Linked DNA regions of Ovis aries. The protein of the gene in region 3 interacts with the protein of the main gene of each other region in a biochemical or structural test. Links are inferred from orthologs where the notes say so. Each region holds a gene or a part of one and is shown on either strand. Other genes may lie near its edges.

Region 1 (3,805 bases), on a different chromosome or scaffold from region 3:
TGGTCACTGCTTTGGGCCCAACCCCAACCAGTGCTGCCATGACGAGTGTGCAGGGGGCTGCTCAGGCCCTCAGAACACAGACTGCTTTGTACGTACCGATGCCACCACCTGACTGTTCTGAAATGGGGCGTGGGCTTTGGGGAGGAAGTTAGGGTACATATGTAACATGAGTCTTATAAGCCTTCTGTGTTCCTAGGCCTGCCGACTCTTCAATGACAGTGGGGCCTGTGTACGCCAGTGTCCACAGCCTCTAGTCTACAACAAGCTAACTTTCCAGTTGGAACCCAATCCCTATACCAAGTATCAGTATGGAGGAGTGTGTGTAGCCAGCTGTCCCCGTAAGTGTCTGAAGGGAAGGAACAATGGGAGTGGAACCAGGATTTTATTCTTTTAGCCTTTTTTTTACAAAAATTTATGTATTTATGAATAGTAGCGCTGGATCTTTGTTGCTTTGCGCCGCTTTCTCTATTGCGGTGAACCGGGTTCTTCTCTTAATTTCAATGTGTGGGCTTCTCATAGTGGAGGCTTCTCTTGTTGAGCAGCATGGGCTCTAGGCATAAAGGCTTCAGTAGCTGTGGCTCGTGGGCTCTAGAGCTCAGGCTCAGTAGTCGTGGCACATAGACTTAGTTGCTTCACTGCATGTGGGATCTTCCCAGACAAGGGATTGAATCTGTGTCTCCTAGATTGGCAGGCAGGTTCCCGTCCACTGTGCCACCAGGGAAGTCCTATCCATTTTATTTTTTTAATATTGTTTTTGCCACACTGCACAGCATGTGGAATCTTAATTCCCTGAACAGTGATTGAACCCATGCCCTTTACACTGGAAGCACGGAGTCTTAACCATTGGACCACCAAGGAAGTCCCTGACAGGATTTTATTTAATCTTATTCTGTGTGTGTTTGTGTGTGTGACCAGCGACCTGCTGTTTTTAAAATATAACATTTATTGCATAGATGGTTTGATACAAAAGAGCTTTTCTTCTCATTTTGAATTTGGAAGTACTATATGACTGAAAACAAAGAGGAAGGAAAAATACCAAAACTGAACTTGGGATTTTCTGTTCATGTGGTATAAACCAATTTTGTATGTAACATGTAGCAGCAGTTTTTAAGTTCCCTTTAGAAAAATATGAATTCCACACATTTGTTATTTTGTCCTGTTTAATTCATGGGCTGAAATCATTAGGATCAACTTCTTTCTAGAGGAAAGAGAGAAACAGAATGGAAGGAACAGTGAATCTTTCTGAAATCAGCATCCGACTGACACATAGCTTCCCCGGAGCTGGTGGAAAAAACAGTCCTTTGGGTTTTCTGTTTTGTTTTCATAGCCGGATGTTTTATGTAGTGATTGAATCTCAGCATCATGTCCATAAATCACAGAGAAAAACAAAACAGAGAAACTTGCACCTCAAAAAACTTTTAGGAAGATCTATTTATGTATCTATACCTATATACATACACATATATATATTGGGTAAAAACCCTGAGAGAAGGAGAAAGAGAATCAAAGAAAATGTATAGAAACAAATTAGCTGGACATGCAAACTAAGCTATGATTCATCCAGAGTTTAAACAAATCAAATTTCACAGTTTAGTATTGGGGGAGGGGACAGAACAACAAACAAATGATACATCTTCCAACTTCACTAATAAAATGTGGCAAGACTTTTATCGACTTCAAGGGTATGAATGAAGTCTAAATAAAACTTTAAATCAGTGGTGATTATTTTGAGTGGCAGTCCTGGCCATGTTGCCAGGCTGGTTCCTGCTATATATCTTACCCCAGGGGTAAGCACATTCTACTCCTTAAGTTGTGCTTCCTCCCACAATATTAACCAGGGTTTTAGATGAAATTTTTTCCTTTTTTTGGCCATGTCCTGACTAGGGATCGGACTCAAGCCTTCAGCAGTGAAAGCACGGAGTCCTAATCACTGTACTGCCAGGAAATTCCCTAGATGCAATTTTAGGAGGTGAAATGGATCAAGTTGGGAGTTTAATTGAGAGTGTAAAGGGCAATGGGTTGTGATCATCATCACCCTTAACAAATGGCCCCTATGTCCTGTTCCCCGTATCTGTTTCCCCATGACTTCCACCAATTGCTTCTAGTTCTGCTTTTGGGATCCAGAGAGCAAAGGGCCTTTCTAATCCATGCTTAGAATCCAGCACTTAAGGAACCTCCGGTGGTCAATTGGAGCAAATCCATGCAGATAAGGAGGGAGGCGGTTCAGCTGGTAGTTGGCAGTGTTCGTCCCTCATCTCTTTCCTCTTTCCTAGATAACTTTGTGGTGGATCAAACGTCTTGTGTCAGGGCCTGTCCTGCTGACAAGATGGAAGTAGATAAAAATGGACTCAAGATATGTGAACCTTGTGGGGGTCTGTGCCCGAAAGGTGAGTAAGAGATTGAAAGGAGTTGGTGAAGAGACACCCTTTCCCCTGAGACTACTCAGCCCCGACCCCTCATCCCCACACTGAGCCTCTTCTGTTTGCAGCCTGTGAGGGGACAGGCTCTGGGAGCCGCTTCCAGACTGTGGACTCGAGCAACATTGATGGATTCGTGAACTGCACCAAGATCCTGGGCAACCTGGACTTTCTTATCACTGGCCTCAATGGGTTAGAGATTCTGTTTTCATCCTCTGATCCCCAACCCCATCAACCCCCTCACAGTTCATTGCACTGGTTCAAGCCTTCATACGGGGAGCTGATCAGGAAGTTAGATCATAAAATCTTAAAGAGATCACAAAGGACCTGGCAGTGCTTAATCCCCCAGGGCTTGAATCCCCTCAGACACCCCTGAACAACCCAGCCACCTGAATGGCAAGGGACAGGGACAGAGTATCCTCCTTCTTAAAGGTTTCTAAATGTTCTTAAGTTGGATACAAATCTTTCTCCCCATGACTTCCAGCTGTTTCACCTAGTTCTGCTCCTTGGTATGGAGCCACAAAGAGCAAGGGACATTCCAGTCCACAGGACAGCGTTTACAGTGAGTGAGTGTGTGTGTGTGTGAGAGAGAGAGAGAGAGAGAGACAAAACGTTAGGACCACTTGTCTTTGGACAATATTGTATCTAAAGTTGCAAAAAATGGTACAAAGATTTTCCATATGCTCTTTATTCAGATCCCCCAACGGCACCCCACTCCAGTACCCTTGCCTAGAAAATCCCATGGGCGGAGGAGCCTGATAGGCTGCAGTCCATGGGGTTGCACGGACATGACTGAGCGACTTCACTTTCACTTTTCACTTTCATGCATTGGAGAAGGAAATGGCAACCCACTCCAGTGTTCTTGCCTGGAGAATCCCAGGGACGGGGGAGCCTGGTGGGCTGCCATCTATGGGGTCGCACAGAGTCGGACATGACTGAAGCGACTTAGCAGCAGCAAGTGTTAACAGTGTACCATAAAAAAAGGAAAGGAAAGTGAAGTCACTCAGTCCTGTCTGACTTTTTGTGACCCCATGGACTGTAGCATACCAGGCTTCTCCATCCTTGGGATTTTCCAGGCAAGGGTACTGGAGTGGGGTGCCATCGCCTTCTCCAGTGTACCATATGCTTTATCATTTCTCTCTCTACACAACACACACACGCACACACACACACTCATTATATATGCTCTTGTTTTTCTGAACCACTTGAAGGTAAATTTCCAGACATGGTGTCCTCTCACCCCAGTGACATTTCAGGGTGTATTCCTTGAAAACAAGAACGTTTTCTTACTTAACCACAGTACATTTGTTTAAATCAAGAAATTAGCAGATACAAAATGTTATCTAATTTACAGATGTTAATCAGATTTCTCTTGTTTTACTGATGTC
Region 2 (4,537 bases), on a different chromosome or scaffold from region 3:
GAGCAGGCTTCCCCAACTAGATGACCAGTGCTGTCTTCTCTTTGCAGAGGCATCTTGCCTGTCGTCCTTATTTCTCATTCCATGCCCATCAGAGATAGATAGGAGTAGGAGTTTCCCTGTGTCACAGGGCCGGAGCACACACTGGTAAGAGCTGGAGGTGGCAAGGCATCAGGAGCCTGAGCTCCTTCTCAGCCCCATTCCACAGCAGAGGTCTTGGGGACATTACTAATCCATCTGGTGTTTTGCTTCTCTTCTGAAAGGTGAGAAGACTGGACCAGATGTTCTCTAACCTCCTTTCCATCTTAGTTTAACGAGTATTCTAAATCCACAGTTTCCAAAACTATGTCCTGAAACTTTAGGAGGCCGATGTTCAACATTGTCATCTTCCTGTCCTGAATTTCACACAGAGGATTTCCCTTTATTATCAAAAGCAGCGCATGATTGTCTCTGAGTGAAGTGGGACTACCCTCTGTAAAATGCCTAACGTCTTCCTCCAAGCTTTCCAGCGGCTGCAAAAGAACCACCCTAATGTGGATGACTGGTTGCCCACTCTTTAAAAGCTTAAATATAACCTATTAAAATTTTAAATCAGGTCTGACTCTTAAGTAATTTTTTTTTTTTTTTTTTGCTATTGCTAAGTCACTTCAGTCATGTCCGACTACGTGTGACCCTATAGATGGCAGCCAACCAGGCTCCCCCATCCCTGGGATTCTCCAGGCAAGAACACTGGAGTGGGTTGCCATTTCCTTCTCCAATGCATGAAAGCGAAAGGTGAAAGTGAAGTCACTCAGTCATGTCCGCTTAGCGACCCCATGGACTGCAGCCTACCAGGCTCCTCCATCCATGGGATTTTCCAGGCAAGAGTACAGAGATTAAATAGGAGAGCAAGGATCTTTCCCAGCAACAGCTGTGTCTGTCTGCACCTTCCCTTCTCTCCTGAGGAGCTATAGCCACCGCCCTGTACATGGGAATCAGGAGGCCTGAGGAAGGGGGCAGGCCTGGAGCCAGCTGCTTGGGGTGTGGGGGGTGGGCAAAGGTCCAGGGTTGTACATCTGTGTTTCTCTTTCCAAATTCAAGCAGAAATTAGTTTTGAATTTTTCTGTGATACTTAACTAATTTTGAACAGTTAAACTCACTTCATATTTTAGGGCAGTTTCAAGAACCAAAATGACAAGAGATTTCAGAATTGGTTAGGATTTCTCTTCTATAGTCTATATATGCCTAAGAATAAGGTGGAATTCAAGGTACTCCTCCAACATGGTTGGTGCTGAGGACTGTTTTTAGAAACTCAACGTGCAAGCATAAAAAAACTCACCTATTTGCTTCTCCACAGATGATGCTGTATGCCTCTGGCTGGTGGACTGGCAAAAGAGAAAAGATACATAATAACTAGATAGCACATTCAAAAGCAGAGACATTACTTTGCCGACTAAGGTCCGTCTAGTCAAGGCTATGGTTTTTGCAGTAGTCATGTACGGATGTGAGAGTTGGACTGTGAAGAAGGCTGAGCGCCGAAGAACTGATGCTTTTGAACTGTGATGTTGGAGAAGACTCTTGAGAGTCCCTTGGACTGCAAGGAGATCCAACCAGTCCACTTTGAAGGAGATCAGCCCTGGGATTTCTTTGGAAGGAATGATGCTACAGCTGAAATTCCAGTACTTTGGCCACCTCATGAGAAGAGTTGACTCACTGGAAAAGACTTTGATGCTGGGAGGGATTGGGGGCAGGAGGAGAAGGGGACGACAGAGGATGAGATGGCTGGATGGCATCACTGACTCAATGGATGTGAGCCTGAGTGAACTCCAGGAGTTGGTGATGGACAGGGAGGCCTCACGTGCTGCAATTCATGGGGTCGCAAAGAGTCGGACACGACTGAGCGACTGAACTGATGAAGTTCTTTAAGCAAAGGAAGAAGAACTGTCAAATAAACTAAGCACTGGAAAGGGAATCTAAGCACCCAGAACCTCTCCTAACTCAGACTCTGGCCAAGCAATTGTGCCTGTCCATGCCTCAGTTTTGTGATTTGAAATAGTTCTAATAATTTTAAGCACTTTCAAGGAAATTTAGTTTGTGCATTTGAACAAATTCACTTCTCAGATGCCAAGTCCCTTTTCTTTCTTGAATCGAGTATGAGGTAGGTAGCAGAGTTCTTCCTCTCTCAGATGATCAGCCAACTGATCATCTGCCAGTCCTGATTTGATCCTGATCCCTCCCAAGATAGAAAATATTCCTTCCACCCATTTGAGCCCCCATTTCTCTGCAGGCAGAACAGGATGGCTAGCGTGATTCATTTCTAAGACAGGAAGAAAGGATTGAGAAGTATGCTGCAAGCCAAGTGTGGTCCATGTGGATTTCTGTCGCCCTCCTCCCCCACTGCAGCAGGGCAGTTTCACCCCATCCCCCACCTCCGCACATTCCAGGGTGCGGCAATCCCCCAGGCAGCTTACCTCTCTGAGTTCGGCCAACTCCTTCTGCAGATGGAAGAGCTGAAATATCCCCAGCCCCAGTCCAACCAGGGCCACCAGAACCATGAAAAACACCACAAGGAGACACAGGCCTGTGTTGTGGCCCCTCCTCTTCTTCAGAGGTGGTGGCGGTAGTGGAGGCAGGGGTGGCGATGGCGGTAGTGTTGGGGGTGGCGGTGGTGGTGGCCTCCTTTGCCCCGGCCTTCCTGGCACTGAGGACGGACAGGGGAAGACTGATCCTGGAGAGGCCCAGGGGGAGCTGGCACTGCTGTCCACCCAGAAGATTGAGGGGTATGGGTAATTCAAGGGCTGCTGCATGGTATCCAGTGCCTCAGGCCAGCCCCCAGCCAAGGGTTTTCCTCTTCCTCAGTCGTGCGGAGGCCCAGGTGTCAAGGGCCGGACTCCTATTTCTGACTGCTCATGAGAAGGAAGCCGGTTCTCTCTTTATAGAGTTTCCAGAACCAAGGGAAACACCTCTCTTTCGTTCTCTCTTTCTGCTTCTCAAAGAGACACCCACTCACTCTGCATCTGAACCTGAGAAGCTTCAAGAAGCTCAGAGCAAACCCCCGGAAGTTTCCGCCCACAACTTTCTGATGAAAGCTTTCAAAACCCCAGTCGCTGCTGCCCTGCTCCCTGAAAGGCTGGTAGGGTGGGCTCGTTGTCCTCAGGCCCTGAGACGGGGGTAGCGTCAGCGCAGCTCTGTAGGCTCCGGCCGCTGTTCAGCTACAAGGAGAGTGGCCTGTGGGGCGAAAGCACCGAGTCACGGCCAGAGGAGTCACTTCTGGGTCTTACCTTTGGCAGGAGGGAATCACCCCCTGCTGCCATCCCTCCCCCACACCCAAGTACTGTTTACCCTGACACAGCAAAGCACCGTAGTTTACAGGTTACAAACTTGCCTGCCTACTCTATAATAGATCAGAGATTGCAAACCAGTGGCCATATGCCTCACAGAGCCCTCAGACCTGCTTTGCTTGTGCCTTACAATGTTGTTTATTTCTATTTACCGTCCTCCTCAAAAAACGGGATAGTCCATAATGCAGACATTCATCTCTGTTTTGCTGAGTCTAAAACTTAGGCCAGAAAAGCACAAGATAAACCAACCACAGATGCCTGGGGCAAAAGATTACCGTTGAGACTCACAGTGGACTGCTGTTATGGACTGAATAGTGTTCTTCCAAAGTGTAAGCACCGAATCCCAATCCCCAGTGTAATTGTATTTGGAGATAATGCCTTTAAGGTGTAATTAAGGTTAAATGAGGTAGTCTGAGTGGGACCCTAATCCAACATGATTAATGTCCTTATAAGAAGAGGTAGAGGGCTCCCTTGGTGGTCCAATGGTTGAGAATCTGCCTTGCAATGCAGGGGACACATATTCCATTCTTGCTCTAGGAAGATCCCACATGGCATGGGGCAACTAAGCCCTACAGCTGCAACCACTGAACCCACGTTCCCTAGAGCCCATGCTCTACAAAGAGAGAAGTCACGGCAATGAGAAGCCCATGCTTGTCTACAACTAGACAAAGCCCACACACTGACAAGGAGCCAGCATAGCCAAAAATAAAGAAATAAATACTTCCTGAAAAAAAGAAGAAGCGGTAGAGACAGCAGGGAGGCATATGTACACAGAAAAGGCCAAGTGAGCACACAGCAAGAAGGTGGTTATCTGTAAACCATGAAAAGAGGACTCAGGAGAAACCAGCCCTACTGACTCTTTGATCGTGGACTTCTATCATCCAGAACTGAGAAAATAAACTTTTGTTGTGTAGGCCATTCAGAAAAATTGGGATAGTCCATATATGTTATAGTCATATTGGGTTTTGAAACACTAGAATATTGGGCAGTCTGGAGGCCCTGTCTGCAAACCCAGTCAGCTGGAGTTGGGCCACTGTTGCAGCTCTCAAGGTCAGGACATGGGTGTGCCAGGCTGCCTGGCTTGCACACCCTCCACTGTGTTTCCCATGAAACTCACTGTGAGAAATGGCCTTCCTGGGCCCTTTAGGCACCTCTGTTATGGTTGTCAACATGTGTTGGATCATGGAGAAAGCAAGGGAGTTTCAGAAAAACATCTATTT
Region 3 (4,519 bases):
CAGGAATTTTGAGAGGGGACACAATTCAGTCCATAGCAGCCATGATAAAATATACAAAGGTATTTAGATCCTTAGAATAAATCCAAAATCCACTTACATTATTAACTTTAGATCCTAATTACAGGATACAGATGGAGTTGCTGCCCAGATTTTCCTGGTCCACTTGCCCTCTCAACTTGAGGCCAGGAAGGGGCCACAGGTGATTTATGCTTGACCGTGTGATCATATATATGGCAAGTGAACCATATTCCTCTATTAGGATACAAATGAATAATTCTGAAGTTAAATACAGAAAAGCATAAATGAATGAAATTGGGGATTGAAGCTGTACTAATGCCTTAAACAATACTTACTGATGATCTACCATGTGCTAGAATCTGCCTGCAAAGTGGGAGACTTGGGTTCGATCCCTGGGTCCAAGATCCCCTGGAGAAGGAAATGGTAACCCACCCCAGTATTCTTGCCTGGACAATTCCATGTGTTACAGTCCATGGGGTCGCAAAGCGTCAGACAGGACTAAGTGCCTAACACTACCATGTGCTAGGTACTGGGGAAAAACAGTACTGACTGACATGATTTCTGATTTGAAATCATGTAGGGGTAGGGAGGTCTCCCCAGGTGGTAAAGAATCCCCTTGCCAGTGCAGGAGACGCTGGTTGTATCCCTAGGAAATGGCAAAAAGCTCCAGGATTCTTGCCTGGCAAATTCCATGGAGAGAGGAACCTGGTGGGCTTCAGATCCATGGAGTCGCAAAAAGTCTGGCTCTTTCAGCAGCTGGATGGGGAAAACACCTGTGCACTTACCAGGCTTCCCTGGGCGGCAAACGCCTACGCAGAGCCACAGAGATGGCTGGGGAGGAAGAGGCAGGTGATGGGGTCTGAGGCTCCGGCGTGGGGAGAACCAACTTACTGATGGCAGGTGTCTGGGGCTGGGCAGCTAAGAAAGAACAGACCTGTCACCGAAAGTCACTGTCCTCACAGCAAGGCTACGGCAACCAAGAATGGAAGCTATCCACGCACCAGGGCGCTTCGAAGGCCCTCAGACTCAGCTTATTTTGGTTTGCGGTTCAAGTTAAGGACACGTCTTACATTTTTCTCTCAGGACTCTACGTTCAGGCCTTTTTGTTTGCTTCTCATTTTCGCTCCCGTCCCTAAGAACTTTCCGCTGGTAAGACCTTCTTCAGGTGCAGAAACCAGAAGGAAGCTCCCAGAGCAGTCGGGGCTTAACTCGGAAAGCAGTCAGTTCTGTTGTGGAATCTCCTGTGGCGCTGAGGAGGAAGGCCCCAGAATAATCAGCCAGAGACACAGAAGCAACAAAACCCAGAAACTGGCAGGGCGCTTCTGTCTCTCTCACTCCCTCTCCACCGAGCAGCCTCAGCTCCACACCTAGCACAGCAATTGATTGACAGGAGGGCTCGCCCAATCCCAGAGCGGCGAAGACCGCCCTCGCGTCAGTGATAGGAGGGAAGGGGAAGACTGAACCTATCAGATTGGGCAGGGAGGGGGGGTTTCCTGTCTGCGCGGGTCCGCCCAGGGCCTCGCGACCGGTCGGCGCTGCAGCCCCGCCCTCCCGCCGCGCACGCCCCGCCTCTCTCCCCAGAGCTACGCGGCGGCAGAGCGGAGGCCTCGTGCCGTAACGGCCATCGCGGCGGCCGTGGCGGCGTCCCTGCCCTCCTCAAGTGAGCTGGCGCCGCCCGGGCTTGGCAGAGGGGAGGTGAGACGGTCCTGCCGGCAGGCAGACGCACAGACAGCCTTTTTCTCGTCTGGGGAATCTACATAGCCCGTTACTTGCCGCGGAGCTTCCTCTTCCCTGCTGAAGTTAGCTCCCGGGGCGCCGTCTGCCGGCTCGGAGCGAAGCCGGAGGGGGCGGGGAGGCCGCTTGGTCGGGCCTGGGCTTTTTGCCTCGCGGCTTCGCGCGACCCTCCGGCCACTGCCCTGGGAGGCGCAGCCCTACGACCTTCCTGTCCCTCCCTGGAGCGTCGGGTCCGGGTGAGCGCTGCGGCCGGCCGTCCCTGGAGGCTGAGAGGTCGAGTGTGTGGCGTGCACCCTCCTCCTTTTCTTTACCTCTCAAAGTCCTGACGGCTTTGTGGCGCATTCCGAGGCCGCGGTGGTGGTGGAGAGGGGCGCTTACCTCTAGGAGTGGGAGGGAGCCGTTCAGGGTGCGGAGGATGGACATCCTCGGGATGCGCCTCCCGCCCCTCCCCCCACCCAGCCCCCTGCAGTTTCCCTTGTTGGGAAATCTGGGTTATTATAATATCATGGATTCGTACGTGAGTTACTTGGGCTGTAAGCTTTTGACTTGAGTTGTAATATATCCGGGGGGAAAAATGTATCTTGGTAGTTGGTTTTGTAACCTTTCCTGTGTGTGTCCATAAAAGTTTGCTATTAGAAGCTCGGGAAGCTGAATTTTGTGCCGGACTGAGAACCCTTACTTTACAGACGCCCAGTTTAGTGTCACACTAATGAACTAGTCACTTAAAAATAATTCTGCCCGTTAACTTTGGCAAGAAACCAGGGGAGTTAGGAAAGGATGAGTTGAAGAAATTTCTATCCCCATCTTGGGTGGTGAGCAAAAAAAAGCTCACTGTTCAGTCAGGACAAGTAAATGTTGCAAGAGGTATTCATTTTTAAAAATCTTACTTTGGTAGATGTAAGAAAGACCAACCATACAGTTTATTAAGCAGATGGAAAGTGCTGTGTCTCAACCCTCAGGGAGTTTACAGAGTAAATGGGGAATTATCCAAGAAGAAGGTTCTGTTTGGTAATTGTCAGTAATATTCAGTTCTTAAATAGATATCCCTCATAGTTTGATAGAAACTCGAGATCTGTGCTTTGGTTGATTAATAGTTTTATTTCATTTTTATTGCAAACTTTACGATTTTCTTCTTTGGAAAATTCTGAACAGTTTGCAGAATGTTCAGGATTTCTCAGCTGTGCTTGTTCATATATTAAATTTTAAACTTGTTTGTTCTGTTTTTCTAAATATTTAGTCTAGATTTTACTAGTGCTTTCAGGTCCTTGAAAATAAAACATGAAACATAACAGGGTACGTTTTGTTAGATATTGAGATATGTTTTAGGCCACTGGATTTTTTGCACCTTTGAGAACTTCCCTGCCAAAACTCAAGGTAGATTTGATGCAAATGTTATAAATCACTTGTCAGGAAGACTTAATAAATCCATATCCTGTCTATTTTATTCTTTTATAGTTTAACAATTTTTACAATTTATTTACCTTTGTAATATGGAAAAATACCAGATATTTTTCTGCCTACACCAGAAGACTAAATGATTTTCTTATTTCGTCAATAAGTAGAATTGGAGGAAACTATTGAAATCACTAAGCATTTAACAAATTCTCTGTTAATACTTTGCTGTGGTGTTTTAGGAAGACAATTGACAGGGCCAAAAATGACATTTAAAGATTATTTAATAAGGCAACAATTCTGTCTGGATGTTCCTCACTTTATTTGAAAGATAGAATTTATAGTCTTCCTTCAAAACTGATTCCATATGCTGACTTTGTTTTGGTGATATTTATCATGCCTTAAACTACCCAGGCATAAGCCCTGGTTTTATCTTAAGACTTCCTCTCACCACATAACATTGCCCAATTTTTGTCAGCCATTTTCTGAAATTTCTTTCAGATATCTGTTCTAACCACTCGTTTTCTTTTTTCCCCCCAGTAGCTTTTAACCGGATTTTCTGCCTCTTTTCTCCCTTAGTATGTTCTGGCTTCTGCCTTGTTCTAAAATAGTGCTTCCACCACCCTCACTGTTAAACCAGCATTAGTTCCCTGTTATTTCGAGTATAGTTCAGAATTCCCAGCCTTCTAACAGTCTGCTCAAAACCTGTTTTTTTCTAATGATAACAGTAATTCTCTATAGGAGCTGTCCATCCTAACACAAACCAATCTCTTGTTCTCATCTAGATTGTGTATTTTCCTGCCTTCATGTCTGTTGACACTTTGCCTGTTTATTGCTAGTATTTTTTAAAAGAAATTTTCCTCCTTAAATTAAGTGGCAAGTAAAGTCAGATTTTGTTAACATTTCACATTTGGTCCTTCTGCACAGCCTTCTAGATCTTTCGGTTTCTGTGTTGTTGCTTTCCTTTGAACCCACAGCCCTTACTGTTTTATCATTTCTTTGGTTTTTAATATGTGGACTTGTATTATAATACTACAGAACAATATTGTGGGAATGTTGAATCCATCCTTCCATTTTATACATAGGGAAAATGTAATCCATACAGACTAAGTTCACTGAAATTCACCTAGTGACCCTGGCAGAGCTGACTTACATATACCTTAATTTCCTACTTGATTTCCTAACTCAAGTTCTGTGTATTAAAATTTATGTGTGTATTCTTATGAAGCTATACTTCTTTTCATCTCTTGCAGTGTCATTTTGTATTGTTTGCTTCACATTACTTTGCGTTTTGTGTATTGGTTAGATTCAGAACTTCTGTATGAGGGGAGGGGAACATTTATGACCTGAATTGTTTGAATCCTTGAAACAGTGA
Region 4 (4,301 bases), on a different chromosome or scaffold from region 3:
TCATTCCTGCTGGTGATTTATCTCCCTACCCCCAAGAAGGCAGCCAAGCCCTAATGTTCCCTAAGCTGAAGGCTTCTAAGTTTCAAATCTACAAATCAGCAGTTTTTAGGCTCCCAGAAGACAATTTCCAGAAATGCTTTTGGAAAGCGTGGGTTTATTAGGGGAACAGATCCAGAAGGAAAAGGGATGAGAGCAAATGCTTTGAATGAGAGAAGAAAAAAAAAAAAAATCTGTGGGGGGAAGGGTTAGAGAAGGTACCAAGTGTTAGAGTTTATGGAAAGTAAGGACCTAGCCTTCATCTGCATATAGCACCCCAGGATAAGGAGTAGGCTGTGGGAGACTGTCCACTATAATGCCTTGGCCTTGAGAGCTGTGGTAAGGGTCTATCTCTTTGAGCAAGTGTAGAAAGATGATTTACAGCAGGAGGATTAGCACTCACATCAGAAGAAGCCACCCGAATGATGCAACCATCACAGATTAGAGCTGGCCTCTACCCCACTTTTTTTGTGAAAGAAACACAATCTGCAGAAAGCAGTACTATACGCAGAGAGTTAAAATGCTTCACCTTTCAGACGACTTCTCTGATCAACAACGGCTAAGTCTAAGAACCCACTATACTGGAAACGACAGGATACGACTTCTTGGACTCCCTGTTTCGGTCTGGGGCCCTTTTCCTGGCTGGATATTAGGTCCCTGATCTGAACCCTCCCTCTTAGTTTAACTCCTCCAATAGCCTTCAGTCTTTCCACTGACCAGTCCTTCCTCAATGGCCCCCTCCAAGTCTGGCCGCATCTCCACCCCTCAACCCTACGTCAGACTCTCCCTTAGTCGTTCCTTCTTCACTCTAATCTCCCTTGCGCCTCTCACCCTCGCCTTCTTCTGCCCAGTCAGCCCCAATTCCCTCTCCTTCCCCTCCCGCATCCCCCGGGAGGGTCTCCTTTCATTCTTCAGTAACCACTCCCCTCCCCACCCCGCGCCCGACCCACCGACTGAGTACAGGCACCCCCCCTCCACAGCTCAGCCGTTGGAGGCGTGGCCCCGCGAGTAACAGGTCTCCCGCCCCACACTCCGCGGGCTCGCGCGCAGACAAAGACATTCCACAGCCCCCGCCCCCTCTGTGCGCTCGGCCAGAAGAGGGAGGAGACACGTGTCCCGCTAGCGCCGAGTCACGTGGAAAAGAAACGAACGGAGCCCGCGGCCTCCCGCGCACGCGCTCAAGTACCCGGCCTGGAGGGCTCGGAGGGAAAAGGGGAGAGAGGAGGCGACTTCTTCAGACTCCACGGCGGTGCGCAGGCGCCGTGGCCCGACCGGGGACTTTGTTCTCCGCGGAGAGACCCAAGGGCGGTGCCGGTGGCTGGCTGCGCACGCGCGCCGCCTCATTTCCGGTGCTCTCTTTTGCTGGGTCGCTCGGGTCGGCTTCGGTCGCTGTCGCTCCCGCTCTCCCACCCCCGCCAACCGCCGCTCGGGCCGCCGGCGCTCAGGCCTCTGCCGCTACCGCGTCGCTTCCTCGATCCCTTAATCGCACATCTTTCCCAATGCAGCGCCGGGACGACCCCGCCGCTCGCATGAGCCGGTCCTCGGGCCGCAGCGGCTCCATGGACCCCTCAGGTGCCCACCCCTCCGTGCGTCAGGCGCCCCCTCGGCAGCCACCGCTGCCTCACCGGTCCCGGGGAGGCGGAGGAGGGTCTCGCGGGGGCGCCCGGGCCTCGCCCGCCACGCAGCCGCCACCGCTGCTGCCGCCCTCGGCCACCGGTCCCGACGCGACAGTGGGCGGTCCAGCGCCGACCCCGCTGCTGCCCCCCTCAGCCACTGCCTCCGTCAAGATGGAGCCGGAGAACAAGTATCTGCCCGAACTCATGGCCGAGAAGGACTCTCTTGACCCGTCCTTCACTCACGCCATGCAGTTGCTGACGGCAGGTAAGCGGGCCTCTGGGGTCCCTCTGGGTCTCCGGGCCAGCCAGGGGCATGGGTGGTAGCGGCTTTGTTCCTCTTGCTTCCCGTTCCCTGAGGACCTCGGCAATCGTGGACTCCTCTCATCTTCATCTTCGGAAGCTTAAGATTCCACGTTCCCATCCCGGCCCAGAGTGCGAGGGAGAATTTCCAGACGGCAGTGGAGGCCCGGAGGGAACTTAGCCATCTCTTAGCGCAAAGATCTTGATGGATAAATGCCGCGTTCCCCGCCCCCTTGGCCGACCCTTCCTCCTCCCCTCTTGCAGCTGCCCTGCGCTCCGAGTGCTCAGATTCTTCCAGAAAGGAACCTTCATCTCCCCCTTCCCCCAAAGGGGAAGCTTGTTTGATCGCGGGTGGCTGTCGGCGCCTCAACTGAGTGTAGGAGGTGAAGACAGCCTGAGCCGGGAGGGACCGTGAGTGGGGCGGGGGGCGAGGTGAGATGGGATGAGACTGGGGTGCCCTGTCCAGCGCCGCGGCCGCAGGGGCCGGTCGGACTTAGCGGTAACTGGAGCTTGAGTTGCTTGGAGGCAGGAGCAACCTGTGGGAATCCGAGCTTGAGGTTTTCCGAATTATATTTCCGACCTCGGCAGATAAGATGGTCATTTCTGCCTAGCCAGACGTTTTGGATCCCTTTATTTTATAATGTGTGTTGTGCATTCAAGAAAGGGGAAAAAAATAAACCTAGAGACGGTGAAGGGGTGATAGAAGGAGGTTAAGGATGGTTTGCGTGGCATTCCCAATCAGATGGGGAAAAAAATTGACAGAAGTTTGCGTGGCCTCCTCCCCCGCTCTTCTCAGTAGTGAAACAGACGAGGAATAGTAGTCTTTGTTCTCTTGTCTGTAGACTAGCGCTCCTTTTTTGCGCAAAACTAGCCATCATCTAGTCGCTCTGATTTCTCCTGAAAACCGCCTATTTTGCCCTCTCTTCCTGTTAAAACGGTATAATGAGTGTCTTATGATACCTAAATTTTATAAGCAAATAAAAATTCAAAACCTTCCAACACTGAGTGAGTAGTTGGACTCTTTGGCAGGATTGAAATAATGGACAGGCCCTATATGAAAATATCTTTTTCCCTGCGTTTGTTCTCTGTCTCCCAACATTAGAGATCTTTACTTTTAAACAGTAAACAAAGCCCCAGACATTCAAGAATAACATTTAAATAAACTGCTTACGGCTTCAGCTCTGTGCTTTGCTCTTCTATAACACAGTCAGATTGTTTGAAACATTACTGTTCATTGTGTTCTTCTGGCAAACTCTTTGAGGGCAAGGAAAGCTTTTTAAATCTTATTGTCTTGCATATAGCAAATACCAGTTGTTTGAATCTGAAAGCAAGTACATGTAGGTTCAAGAACCTCAGACAATGGTAAAAGTTGACTGGGTTTTATTTTTATTTTCTTGCATCTTCAAACAGTCCAGATTAAATGTATAGAATAAAATAACAAACTTTAGAACTGTAAGGTGTTGACTTGGCTTTGAAATTCTAGCTCTTGACTAGTCATCTATTCTTGGGAAACTTTTTGAATCTCACTAAGCTCATCTGTAAAGTGGGGTGGTGAGTTGTGAGGATTAAATGTTGTATAAAAAGCTCTGGCACAGTTCCTTTTGACCTGTAATCATTAGCTAATAACTTGCCACCAGTTTTCTCCTAGTTGTAAATTCGTGGTACAGATTTAGGATGAAAACGCAAAAATTTTCTTGCTATTCTACGCACATCAGGTGTCCAGTGCTAGTCTAGTCTTTTAAGTAAAATACGATTTCTTAGAATAGCTATCAAAAACTCAATCCTTATAGTGAAAGTTTTAGTTGCTCAGTCATGTTCGACTCTTTTGTGACCCCATGGACAGTGGAGCTTACCAAGCTCCTCTGTCCATGGGATTCTCCAGGCTAGAATACTGGAGTGGGTTGCCATGCCCTCCTCCAGGGGAATCTTCCTTACCCAGGGATTGAACCCAGGTCTTCTGCATTGCAGGCAGATTCTTTACCATCCGAGCCACCAGGAAAGCCTGATCCTTAAATAAAATTTTCACCTCTCTCTTACTGCTTAACTTTTGTCACGAGAGAGCGTGCTTTAATTTTTTTTTTAATTTGAGCTTTTTTCCCCCTCTCACTTTTTAAAAAACATATGTATTTTATTTATTTGACTGTGTCAGGTCTTAGTTTTCACCAATAAGCTTCATTCCTCTGTGGCATGTGGGATCTTAGATCCCAGGGCCAGGTATCAAACCTAGGTCCCCTGCATTGCAGGATGGATTCTTAACCACCGGACCACTGGAGAAGTCCAAAGCTTTTTTTATGTCTCTTTTCTTTAACCAGATTGAATTTTAATTGGAGAAAGGGGGTTGAGGTAATC
Region 5 (3,805 bases), on a different chromosome or scaffold from region 3:
CCCGTGGTTTCAGGGAGGGGGTGAGAAGAGTCAGAGAAGCAGCATTTCCCCAATTCAGGTCCCTCTCTGACGCCTTAAGCCCGACCCAACTTCACATCTGTTCTTTTTTGTCTCCACAGCAACCCTACCTTTCCGCAGAGCGCCTCCCTGCCGCCATGCTTCTCTCAAGGTTTGTTCTCTGCGCTCTAGTGACCGACTCTAGCCCATATGCCGTCGTCCCAAAGCCTTTCGGCAAAAGTTTTGTTGTTTCCTAAAAGCATCCGACTTCATTATTCAGCACTTCGGTTTCTGAAGTGTACCAAAGGTTGCTGTAGTGATAGGATACTCCACACAACAACAAAAACAACACACAGACACACACACTCCTCCGCAGGAAGGCGCCCTTGGCTTTATCTTCCCAGGCGGAACTTTTCTTCCCGGCTGTTTTTATATGATGCTTAGGATGGTGCTAGCTTTCTCTGTAGTTTAGATTTCTATAATGAATCTAACCTGGAGTGCTAGTTGAGGAACATGTTTAAAATACAGATTAAGGGACCCCCAACCCCCAGGATTCTGATACAGTAAGTCTGGCTGAAGACCTGTATTTTCTAATAATATTTCCTTTGGGTGTCGATGGTAAGTATTTCTTGAGAGAGTCCTCAAACTTTAAAAGGCACGCAAATCCCCTGGGAGCTATGTTAAAATGCAGATTCTAATCAGTGGGTCTTGGATGGGACCCAGGGTTCTGCATTTCCAGCAAGTTTCCATGTGATTCCCAAGTTCCAAGTTCCCAGCTGGTATTGCTGGTTCATGGACCACTTCAAGTAGAAACAAAGGCCTACCCAGTAGGACTAGCTGTGTTTATTTTCTATCCTTAAGGACTTGCAAGTGACTAGTACATGGTAAGCACTTTAAAACATTTGTTGAATGACTGTCAAATGACTATGGAGAGTCACCCAACTCTAGTAAACAATTTTTTCTTCTCATGCTAGAAAACACATCTTGTGTTACCAGATTTTCTGATTTATTTTTCAAGAAAACATAGAAATATGGCTTTCAATGTGAAATTACCTAATTTTTAAAGATTGACTTAAGATTTAAAAATTCTGTGAGGAAAAAATAAAACACTTTTTTTTTTTTGTAGTCATGTACACATGCAGGAACATTAGTTTGTGTTATAAACAGAAAACTAATAAGTTTAAATTTTCACTTAAGAGTCGACTCTTTCTTTTAGGGGCATGTCTATTACATTCAGTTGGGTACATCATGCCATATATGTATGAGATTCTACTGCTGACACCAATGAAACCCACTGTATTTTCAATGTTTCCTAAGCATTTTAGGATATAGTGTCCTTATTCACTACATGGCTTCCACAACTCCCCCCACCCCTCAGTGGCCACAACTCATTATTTTGTAAACCTACTTTGTGTCCCTAGCCTGGTCCGTCCAGGCATCTGAGCTTGAGACACTTCACTTATAGCAGTATCTGCCAAAGTAAATTCCATAGACCCCTGCTTCTATGAGTTGGTGACAGAGATTATTAATATAAACAGTTGGCTTTTATTATTTTTTTGAATATAATCATCCCTCTAATACAGGAGGGGGGATTGGTTCCAGGACCCCCCACTGATAACAAAATCCCAGGATGTTCAAGTTCTCTGTATAAAATGATGTCGCACAGTTGGCCCTTCACATCCACAGCTCCACATCCACAGACCTGGCTAACCCATTGGTTGAACCAGTCTGTAGTCGGCTGAATTCACCGATGCGGAAGCCATGAACGCAGAGGGCTCACTCTACTACCTTAATCAAAATCGATCCCTTTTCTCCCAAGAGTGCCAGGACACCTGGTCCTCAGTCTAACCCACTGGTTCCCCAAGGTCAGGAAGATAAAGCATGTGCTTTATATTGGCCAAAAACCTGTGCCAGTTCCCTTGAGGATCTATTTATTAAGGGTGGAGGGTGACTGCAATGAAAAGTAATATGTTGTCTGTCATGAACAGTGACTTTGTGGTGCTGACCTGCAGATGCAGATGGAGAATAATTCCTCAGTTCTAAGACAGCCATGCCCTGTAGACCTTCATTGCATGACTTTCTCACGTAGCTAGATCTCACTCACTCAGCAAGCATTATACAATGTTGCACTGCAGAGATTGTCATGCGGAAGGTCTGCTCAGGCACTGGGAGCCTTAAGAAGGAAGATCAGCAGCTCAGGCTAGCCCCATCTGCATCTCGAATAATCCTGACTAGGAAGACTTGGACTCTTCAAGTAACTCTCCCCTCTCAGGGGCCCTGGGGCAGGCGATTTACCCTCTGTGGTGTATTAGATGTATTAGATGAAGTAACAGAGCTGGTGCAGAACCACCTGGAGTGCTTGTTAAAGGCAGATTCTTGAGCCTGGGTGATTCAGGGTCCCCCTGGAATTCTCTTTTACGCACAGTCATATTTGGGAACCACAAGCTCAAGTTCTGGCTCTGCCACTAAGACACATGATTTGTTTAGACTCTCTGAATCTTTGTTTCATGATATTCAAAAAGAAGACAATACCCACCTTGTGGAGTTGCTGTGAGGATGAAAGGTCATGCACACAGGTGTCTTATTCAGGGCCTGGACACAGCAGTGCTGAAAAAATATCTGTTGAATGAACAAATGAGTGATGCATGAATTGTTAAGAGAACATTCAACTCACGGACTTTACCAGCCTGAAATAGCTGTTCTGGCATATAGAGACAGGTTTAGCAACTGCAAATCAACACAATCAAACCTTCCCTGAGATTAGGAAACACATTCTCTTGAAAAATTTCATGGAACTGTCAACAAGGAAAAAAAAAAGCATTAGAGAAGATGAGGCACAAATGCTGGGTAATTTACAGACTCCGACACAGGCTTCCTGATGGATCAGATACTGTCAGGGCCTCCTTCTATGTGAGTCTAACAGTTCTACTTCTAAAAGAAATTTGGTCAAGAACAGCAGGTAGTAAGCTCTGGCTCTGAAATCTAAGAATATTCAAGGTAATTTCACCTCATCTTGGGTAAGTCACATGTCTTGTTGTGAAAATGAGAACATAATTATCCTGACCTCCACATTTTACCATTTGGTGGTATATATGTAACTTGCTCAGTTAAGCAACCAATCAAGTGTGCGGTGTAGTGTCTCAGAATTTCACTGGCATGGCTGCAGAATAGGGCCCGAAACAGCCCTTGTGGTTTTGAACAAGTGAAAGTTATTTTGGAAGCTGTGGTTTCTTGAAACGTTAATTGCTGGGAACAATGGCAAGGGCATTGTGGAGGGCGGGCAGTGATGGGCTATGACTAGTGAAAAATTGCTTAAAGTAAATTAACGTTCAAAATGCTATACTTTCAAAGGCCCCCTCAACAGACCACTTCCCAGAGTGGAAGGCAGGAACTTCTCGCCAGTTCCCAGCAAACCTAGACCACAGTCCCCTGGGGAAGAACAGGTAATAAGGCATATGTTCCTATTTTATTTCTACACCAGCAAACGAATCATCAGAATCTTCCACTGAATAGTCTCCTATACTTTTATTTTCTTTTACTCTTAATTTTTTTAGTGAAAAATATTGAGGGGAGAATTCAGTTGAAAAATATTCTTTTTCCTTGATGTTCCTCTTCCAATGGCAAATGTGTGTTTCACATTAAACAGAAAAATAATTCTATTTTTCATCTATTTCTTAGTTTATGACATAGCATAAGTCATTTAACTGCTCATTAACCCAGTGTTTTTCATTAAATATATTATTATTCTAAACTGAAGAAATTATTACATCTAAATCTTTCCTGCTTAGAGACTCGATTATCTATGAAT
Region 6 (3,805 bases), on a different chromosome or scaffold from region 3:
CAGCCTCAGTTGGAGGTTAATGGTAGAGAGACTGGAATCAGCAATTTGGGGTCAGGAGTTTTAGGGATTAGAATGTAGCAGAAAGGGACAGAGTTTAGGGATCAAAGATGTGGAGACAAAGTCAGTGGGGAGTAAATGTTAAGGAAACAGTATTAGAGTTTGTGGGGTCACACTGGACAGAAAGAGCCATATGTCAGGGTATTTGAATTTGAGCATCAGTGTTGAGATAGGATTAGCATTCAGGGACCAGAACTGGGGAGAAAGACAGAATTGAGAGAGATACTGGGGAAGACATGTCTGATGTTGGGGTCAGAATTGAGGGGACAGATGGTCAGGGTTTGCAGGTCAGAGATGGGAGAACTACCAGAACAGGGGAAGTCAGAGGCTGGTGAGAATGAGACCAGCTCAAGGGAACTGGTCAGGGTTTGAGTTCAGATTTGTGAAAACAAAGGCTGGAAATGTCAGTGTGAGGGGAGAGTAGAGAACTGAAGGCACAGAGCATCAGTGTTTGGGGTCATATGCGGTCTGGGAGGCCCCGTGTGATGGAGTAGGTCCTAGCATCATCGTGTGTGCCCCCCTAGACCAGCACCTGCTCCTGGGGGCCGAGGAAGGCATTTTTATCCTGAATCGAAATGACCAGGAGGCTACGCTGGAGATGGTGAGGGGCAGTCCCTGGGGTGGGTCAAGGGGGGCCAAGGGTGGGGGCTGAAGTTGGGCTTGCTGGGGTCTTACAGGAGCCATCTCCCCCTTGCCCTGCAGCTTTTTTCTGGCCGGACTACCTGGGTGTACTCCATCAACAATGTCCTCATGTCTCTCTCAGGTCTGGCTGTGGCTTGGGTGGGAGGGGTGGGAGTCAGAACTTAAGGGGTCAAAGGTAAGGAGGTTGGGAAATAGATGGGCACAGAGAAAACAATTAGGCTCCCCCTTCACAGAGCCTACAGTTCAAATTCCAGCCACCTTTTCAGTGTGGGACTTGGGGCAAGACACTTCTTCCTAAGCCTCTGTTTCCCCATCTTTAAAATGGGGCTCACAATAGTGCCCACCTCTCAAGTCAGTTTTGAGGTAATTTCCACAAGAAGTCAGTCTTTACCTTTCTTTGATGTTGACAAGATGACAATACTTGTTCCATGCTTTGCTAAAATGGAGTGAGCAGGTTGTGGATTAAAATTTTGTGTCATTGTTTTATAAACACCTTGTGTAAAAGAATTTCTAATTTATGAGGAGACCCCAAGCCAAATAGAATGAGTGAGCTCATTCATATCACATCTGTGATGACAAACTTTTGCAGAATTTCTAGATGTTCCTTGTTAAACTTTGTAATACGTGTAACTTCATCTGATTGTTAAGTGTCTGTCATTTCTCATGCGGCCACAAGTACTATGAGGGTAGGGAACATATTTATTTTACTTACCATTGTTCACCAGAGCCAAGCACAGTGCCTGGCCTATAGTGGACATTTAAAATATGTTGCACTGCGACTTCCTGGTGGTCCAGTGTTTAAGACTCCACACTTACACAGTAGTGGGCATGGGTTCAATCCCTGGTCAGGGAACTAAGATCCCACATGTCGTGGGGCACAGGCAAAAAAAAAATTTTTTTAACATGTTGCATGAAAAAATGAATAAACAAAGGTGCCTGAGTCTTGAAGACTTGGGCATTTAAAAGGGATGGGGCCGAGTGATGGGCTGAGGGAAGGGTGGGAGTGTGCAGTAGCCTATAACTGCCTGCTTTCCCTATGTACACACACACTGCAGGAAAGACCCCCTACCTGTATTCTCATAGCATCCTGGGCCTGCTGGAACGGAAAGAGGGCAGAGCAGGAAGCCCCATCGCTCACATTAGCCCCCACCGGCTACTAGCAAGGTACCAGCCCCTAGTGGTACCACTGACCCCTCTAATGCCCCATTCCTGCCGTCCCTCGCCCCCATTCATGCCTATCTTCTGCCGCAGGAAGAACATTGTCTCCACTAAGATCCCGGACACCAAAGGCTGCCGGGCGTGCTGTGTGGGTGAGAACCCTAGGGGTGGGCAGACAGGGGGCAAGACCAAGGGTGGGACTTGGACTCCCTCTCCACAGGAGAGGGTTGCAGAGTTAAGGCAGGGTGAGTCGAGCCTGGGGAGAGGTGTGTGGCCTTTGGGGGCGAAGGGTCGCGGGAGAGACCATTGACCGCTCCCTACCCGCCTCCACAGCGGAGGGCACCAGCTCCGGAGGCCCGTTCCTGTGTGGGGCTTTGGAGACATCCGTGGTCCTGCTTCAGTGGTACCAGCCCATGAACAAGTTCCTGCTGGTCCGGGTAGGGAGCCTGGAGACGCTAGGGGCTTTGTCAGCTTGGGTGGCTGGGGCCGTCTACTCTACGCTTCCGCAGCGAGCTCCGCGAACCTGGGCTTCCACCCGAGGCCTCCCACAATCTCCCCAAGGCTCCGCCCACCTGGAGGCTCCTCCCCTGAAGTCTTTCTGATCCTTAAGCTCCGGCCCTCACGCCACCCGTTACTTTCTAAGCCTTCTGAGGCCTCACCTCCTTGAAGTTTCTAGATGGTGCTTCCCAAAACTGAGGGCTCGAGAAACACTTGGCGAGGGGGGAGAAATACTTCGGAAGCTCCAAGCTCACTGTCCTCCAAGACCCCGCCCCTCAGGCCCCGCCCCCGCCCCGCCCCCTCATCTGAACCCGCCCCTCCCTGCGCGGCCCGCAGCAGGTGCTGTTTCCGCTCCCTACGCCTCTGCCGGTGTTTGCACTGCTGACCGGGCCAGGCTCCGAGCTGCCCTCAGTGTGCATCGGCGTGAGCCCCGGAAGGCCGGCGAAGTCGGTGCTCTTCCACACCGTGCGCTTCGGCGCGCTCTCCTGCTGGCTGGGCGAGATGAGCACGGGTGAGTCGCGCAGGCTCTGGGACGGGTGAGGCTTATCAGTTGGGTTGGGTTGGGTCTGAGTGACTGGGCGGTGCTTAGCCTGAGGCGTAATTGGGAAAGGGGATGAACCGTGAGCGGGGCGGGAGAACATTGGGTATATATAATTAATGAGATTGATGATGGGGAGTGGGGAATTCTGTGATGGGCGGGGGTTAGCCCGATTGCTTGGGAATGGAGAGGGGGGCCTAGCGGAGGAAGGCATAATGCGGTGAAATTGGTCCCTGAACCTGGATCTCTCAAGCAGAGCACAAGGGACCAGTACAGGTGACTCAGGTTGAGGAAGACAAGGTGATGGTGTTGATGGACGGTAAGAACCTTCCTCCCTCCCTTGCCTCCACTGTGCCTAGATACCGACCCCCAGACCCCGCACCTCTGAGAGATTCTGAGCCCCTCCAGTCCTTACTCGTCCTGCTTTGCTTCTTACACTGAACGTATTGTCCTGTCCCTTGATAACCTTCTCAAGCCCGCTTACTGCTCTTACAGTCCATTCTCTACCTCCTTCTAGGGTCCCTGAAGCTGGTGACCCCAGAGGGGGCCCCGGCCCGGGGGCTTCGAACTCCAGAGATCCCCATGACTGAAGCAGTGGAGGCCGTGGGTATGTGCCGGAATGATAATTCCGGGGTCTGGGGTCCAGGTTGGAGGCTTAAGTAGAGCCCAAGGGTAACAGGCGCTGCTTTCCTCCCAGCTATGGTCGGGGGTCGGCTCCAGGCCTTCTGGAAGCATGGAGTGCAGGTTTGGGCTCTAGGCTCGGATCAGGTAAGCTCCTTCCTCCTAGCACCCGCAAGCCCCTCCCACGTCAATCATCTCACTCATCAGATCCATTGGGAGAACAGACTCACTCAGGGTGTAAAGTCCCTGGAGGTGACACTTCTCTAGGCTCAGTTCAGACAGGTCCCCGTC
Region 7 (4,336 bases), on a different chromosome or scaffold from region 3:
AATGTAAATCAAACAGGTGTGCTTTCAAAATACAGAGTAATATGTAATCATTCTTTGCTGTTTTAATCTAACACTAATTAGCTTGCAAATGACATATGCTGTGAAATACTAATTTAAGATATCCATTAAGGCAAAGAACATTCAGTACATTTCTAACTTCAGTAAAACTTTTGGTAGTTTCGGTAAATGACAACTTAATGGAATTCTGCAAATAGAACTGAATTTTATCTGTTTTATGTTTCAGCAACAGGGACACAGTCTCAGTCAACCTTATATTTAACTTATCCTTAAAGCTTATAATCAGGCCAAGAATTTTTTTTTTCCTATTTAACAGGCGTATAAATGACTTGTATTTATAAAGTTACAATTCTTCTTTTCTGTCCTGAGCACTAGTCACTGACTGTATCTCTATATTTTGTTACTTTGAAGATGTTGTGTGTCTACTTATGATTTTAGGACATGTTTGTATAAAAGCAGGTCTACTTCAAATCACATAAACTTATAGCTATGATTCAATTAGCATTTGATAGCATAATGACAATTTATACTTCTAGATATAATGTACTGCAAACAGTTTTAGTTGTATTATGTTAAGTATACATAATATTTTTTTTATCTTAAGATGCTTGTAAAACCTAAGAATGGGATTAAAAACTTTGGTGACTTTATATTCGAATATATCACTCAACCTGAATATGTTCTTTAGCTTATTTTAATAAAAGTTAGAACTATTTCTGTCTCCTAATTTTTGTTCAACTCAGCTATTAGTCTGTTGACTAATACTTTGTATTTAAGTGAGAAAAACTGTCATCTTCGTATATTAATTCCAGAATTTGTTATTTTATTTCCTATCAGTTGGAATATCTGAATAGCTGATGTAGCAAACTATTCCTTTTGTTGCCTATGGCTGGGAATTTTTACAAATGGAAAACTAGCAAAAACTTTTCCAGTCTGACCGGCTTGATGTTTATCTCTGAGAACATCTTTACAGCTTTACTTTGAGGCTCTAAGATTCTTTTTCCTTCAGTTCAAATTTTTCTCTGGCCCTTTACCATACTTAAGCTGCAAGATGTTCTTGTATCTTCAAGCCCAAGCTAGCTTCTGTTATAGGTTTAAAAACACAAAAAGGCTCAAGACCAAACTTAGACTAGTGATCAGAGAGAAAAACAATTGATAAAATAATGAATGAGTCACTATTTAAATATACTTCAGTTCTTTTATTTTTTTCTGAACTAACCTTTCTGCTTTCATTATTTTTAATAGCACTTATGTAAAAAGAGTGTGGTCAATTATTTCCAATGGTAGCTACAACAATTTCTCTGAACCTACATCAGTTTTACCATGATACTTTCCACTCCTCTTATCAAGAGATGAAATCTCGCTCCCTCTCCTCATCTTATGACCTGTGTCTTCCTTAGATGCCCTGTCCCATTTCTGGGCTTAGCCCTTGAAAGGTCTGGCAGCTTCTTCCCCAGACAGAGAAGTCCTCCATTTCTCTCTGAGGAAGCCAGCCTCCATGCTGTAAAGAAGCTTGAGCTAGATACAACTAAATGATAAGACACCACATGGAGAGGAAGAGGCAGGTGGAGGAGCACCACGGGGGCCAGTCATGTGAGTGAAGCCTTCCTGGACTTTCCAACTCAGTGTAGCCACCAGCTGAAGATCCCCAGATCAGCATCCCTAACCAGCATCAGGTAGAACAGAATAACTGCCCAGCTGAGCCCAGTCAACCTACCAACTATAAGAAATAATAAACCAGTGGTTTTAAGTCACTACTTTCCAGGTTGGATTTGATATGCAGTAATAGATAACTGAAACAGTATGTTTTTAAATTGTATACTGTTTAGTGGAGAAACATATTCTCAATTTATATGCAAACTTTAACTAAGGCATAAAGTTATCTTTTTAATTTTGTTGAAGTATAGTTGATTTACAATGTTGTGTTAATTTCTGCTGTACCTCTAAGTGATTCAGTTATATATATATATATATATATATATATATTCTTTTTCATTTTGTTTTTTCACTAGATATTGAATATAGTTCCCTGTGCTAAACAACAGGACCTTGTTGTTTATCCATTCTATTTGTAATAGTTAGCATCTGTTAATCCCAAACACTAGAGAAAAAAAAGGCAACTCATTCCACTATTCTTGCCTGGAAAATCCCATGGACAAAGGAGCCTAGTGGGCTACAATCCATGGGATTGCAAAAGAGTCAGACACAACAACTAAACAATCCCAAACCGCCAGTCCTTTCTTCCCCAGCCCTCTCCCCTTTGGCAACCATAAGTCTGTTCTCTCTGTGAGTTTGTTTCTGTTTCATGAATGAATGAATGAAAGTCACTCAGTTGTGTCTAACTCTTTGCAACCCCATGGGCTACACAATCAATGGAATTCTCTAGGCCAGAATACTGGAGTGGGTGGCAGTTTCCATCTCCAGTGGATCTTCCCAACCCAGGGATCGAACCCAGGTCACCCACATTGCAGTCGGATTCTTTACCAGCTGAGCCACCAGGGAAACCTTTCTGTTTCATAGATATGTTCATTTGTGTTATATTTTTAGATTCCACATGTAACTGATATCATATGGTGTTTCTCTTTTTCTTTCGGACTTATTTCACTTAGTATGGTAGTCTTTACCTCCATCCATGTTGCTGCCTATGGCATTATTTCATCCTTTTTATGGAAGAGAAATAGTTCATTGAATATTCACTGAATATCTGTGAATATTCACTGAAAGGACTGGTGCTAAAGCTGAAGCTCCAATACTTTGGCCACCTGATGTGAAGAGCTGACTTATTGGAAAAGACCCTGATGCTGGAAAAGATTGAAGGCAAGGGAGAAGGGAGCAGAAGAGGCTGAGAGGGTTGGATAACATCACCAACTCAATGGACATGAATTTGAGCAAACTCTGGGAGTTAGTGAAGACAGGGAAGCCTGGCATGCTGCAGTCCATGGGGTCACAGAGAGTTGGACACAATTTAGAGACTCAACAACAACAAAACATTCCATTGTATGGAATACCACATTTATTGTATTCATTCTTATCCATTCGTCTGTCGATGGACATTTAGGTTGGTTCTACGTCTTGGCTATTGTAAATAGTGCTGCTTTAAACACTTTTTACATGTATCTTTTCAGATTATAATTTGGGGGTCAGATGTTATTTAGCCTAGAATATACTCTAGGGAATCTAAAAATCCTTCTTCCCGGTTACCCATTGGCCTCTGTCTTTGATTCTTATTTATCTTAGTCAACACTGCTCTACTTCCCAGGGGGAAATCATCTTCTCATAAAACATGTATAACCACCCTATGGGGGAAATCTAAAGCACCATAATGAAGAAATGGTCCAGACATTGTATTCTATCAAATCTATGATTACATTCTAGCTAGAAATTTGCTTGATATCTTCACAGTGATCCAATAGGTGATTTCCTTCTTTTTGCAAGAAAAATATTTACATCTATGTTAGATAACTGGCTAGATGCCAGACTACTCATTTTCTATCTTTTGTCACCCTGCCAAAAAATATATATATGTAAGTAGTCAGTCAGTTTGGGTCTTGATGAGTGTTCTTTAACCAGTGCTCTTCACTCATTATCACACTCACTAGACATCAGCTAGGTCATCTTCTGGATGTTAGCGGAAAGACTGATCTACACTGAATGAGCTTCTGCTCATAACCAAAGATCTCTAGCACATTTGATTCTTCAAGGTAACTGGTGCCATTGTCTTTCCACATTTGCCCTCTTTCTCTTTTAACCTGAAAGGCATCCAACCAGAGGTCAGATTTTGGCTTTGTCACTTACAGGTCATGTCCTTTTATCATCAGTGTCTTCAACTCTAAATGAAAATTTTTAACAACCTGAAGTTGTTATAAGTATTAAGTGAAACAATTATGTTAATATGCTTGGTAGCATAAGGAGCTATGTAAATACTGATTATTATTTTTAATACCTTCTATAACTTTTGAATATATTCACTTCTACAGTTTGATATGTGATCCCTTGAAATAAATCCATAGAGTTGTTTAATTACACTAGTTGCCATGTTCTCTCCCAAAGAAGTAGGAGAACTCATCTTACTCAACAATCTCCTGTCTTCCATTTGGCAGCTCTTGCATTTCTAACATGAGAAAGAGCTTACCTTCTAGCAAATAAAAATGTCAAGTTTTTCTATGTACACAACTTAGTTTATTGGCACTATTTTAAATGTCCACATATTACCTAACAAACACTGTCAAGTACTAGGAAGAAACAGAATCTTAAAGCCCTCAGTGGAATATGTAACCACGAAGACAAATCCAGTTAGTGGGATTTAGCCAAAAAGGCA

Evidence for each region.
Region 1: the proteins of NCK1 (region 3) and ERBB3 form a complex in vitro, tested with the Homo sapiens proteins (2 studies listed by BioGRID and IntAct, with this or other methods). The link is inferred for Ovis aries from reciprocal best matches to the Homo sapiens genes NCK1 and ERBB3.
Region 2: the proteins of NCK1 (region 3) and FASLG form a complex in vitro, tested with the Homo sapiens proteins (2 studies listed by BioGRID and IntAct, with this or other methods). The link is inferred for Ovis aries from reciprocal best matches to the Homo sapiens genes NCK1 and FASLG.
Region 4: the proteins of NCK1 (region 3) and KHDRBS1 form a complex in vitro, tested with the Homo sapiens proteins (3 studies listed by BioGRID, with this or other methods). The link is inferred for Ovis aries from reciprocal best matches to the Homo sapiens genes NCK1 and KHDRBS1.
Region 5: the proteins of NCK1 (region 3) and LCP2 form a complex in vitro, tested with the Homo sapiens proteins (2 studies listed by BioGRID and IntAct, with this or other methods). The link is inferred for Ovis aries from reciprocal best matches to the Homo sapiens genes NCK1 and LCP2.
Region 6: the proteins of NCK1 (region 3) and MAP4K1 form a complex in vitro, tested with the Homo sapiens proteins (2 studies listed by BioGRID, with this or other methods). The link is inferred for Ovis aries from reciprocal best matches to the Homo sapiens genes NCK1 and MAP4K1.
Region 7: the proteins of NCK1 (region 3) and SOS1 form a complex in vitro, tested with the Homo sapiens proteins (2 studies listed by BioGRID). The link is inferred for Ovis aries from reciprocal best matches to the Homo sapiens genes NCK1 and SOS1.

The regions. Positions count from the first base shown.
Region 1 is NC_056056.1:163,445,640-163,449,444, reverse strand, and holds part of ERBB3 (receptor tyrosine-protein kinase erbB-3), read left to right. Parts: coding exon 1-88; intron 89-196; coding exon 197-338; intron 339-2,273; coding exon 2,274-2,387; intron 2,388-2,488; coding exon 2,489-2,609; intron 2,610-3,805. UniProt on the Homo sapiens protein: Tyrosine-protein kinase that plays an essential role as cell surface receptor for neuregulins.
Region 2 is NC_056065.1:39,430,859-39,435,395, reverse strand, and holds the start of FASLG (tumor necrosis factor ligand superfamily member 6), read right to left. Parts: upstream 2,994-4,537; 5' UTR 2,784-2,993; coding exon 2,448-2,783; intron 1,362-2,447; coding exon 1,316-1,361; intron 1-1,315. UniProt on the Homo sapiens protein: Cytokine that binds to TNFRSF6/FAS, a receptor that transduces the apoptotic signal into cells. Involved in cytotoxic T-cell-mediated apoptosis, natural killer cell-mediated apoptosis and in T-cell development.
Region 3 is NC_056054.1:252,944,997-252,949,515, reverse strand, and holds the start of NCK1 (cytoplasmic protein NCK1), read left to right. Parts: upstream 1-1,597; 5' UTR 1,598-1,713; exon of another isoform or gene 1,714-1,988; intron 1,989-4,519. UniProt on the Homo sapiens protein: Adapter protein which associates with tyrosine-phosphorylated growth factor receptors, such as KDR and PDGFRB, or their cellular substrates. Maintains low levels of EIF2S1 phosphorylation by promoting its dephosphorylation by PP1.
Region 4 is NC_056055.1:235,469,335-235,473,635, reverse strand, and holds the start of KHDRBS1 (KH domain-containing, RNA-binding, signal transduction-associated protein 1), read left to right. Parts: upstream 1-1,378; 5' UTR 1,379-1,535; coding exon 1,536-1,917; intron 1,918-4,301. UniProt on the Homo sapiens protein: Recruited and tyrosine phosphorylated by several receptor systems, for example the T-cell, leptin and insulin receptors. Once phosphorylated, functions as an adapter protein in signal transduction cascades by binding to SH2 and SH3 domain-containing proteins.
Region 5 is NC_056069.1:2,324,678-2,328,482, reverse strand, and holds part of LCP2 (lymphocyte cytosolic protein 2), read left to right. Parts: intron 1-119; coding exon 120-169; intron 170-3,348; coding exon 3,349-3,440; intron 3,441-3,805. UniProt on the Homo sapiens protein: Adapter protein primarily involved in signaling pathways within T-cells, as well as other immune cells such as platelets, mast cells, and natural killer (NK) cells.
Region 6 is NC_056067.1:47,742,840-47,746,644, reverse strand, and holds part of MAP4K1 (mitogen-activated protein kinase kinase kinase kinase 1), read left to right. Parts: intron 1-581; coding exon 582-658; intron 659-759; coding exon 760-820; intron 821-1,754; coding exon 1,755-1,863; intron 1,864-1,950; coding exon 1,951-2,009; intron 2,010-2,190; coding exon 2,191-2,294; intron 2,295-2,691; coding exon 2,692-2,866; intron 2,867-3,146; coding exon 3,147-3,212; intron 3,213-3,410; coding exon 3,411-3,500; intron 3,501-3,590; coding exon 3,591-3,661; intron 3,662-3,805. UniProt on the Homo sapiens protein: Serine/threonine-protein kinase, which plays a role in the response to environmental stress. Appears to act upstream of the JUN N-terminal pathway.
Region 7 is NC_056056.1:85,013,677-85,018,012, forward strand, and holds the start of SOS1 (son of sevenless homolog 1), read left to right. Parts: upstream 1-1,482; 5' UTR 1,483-1,611; intron 1,612-4,336.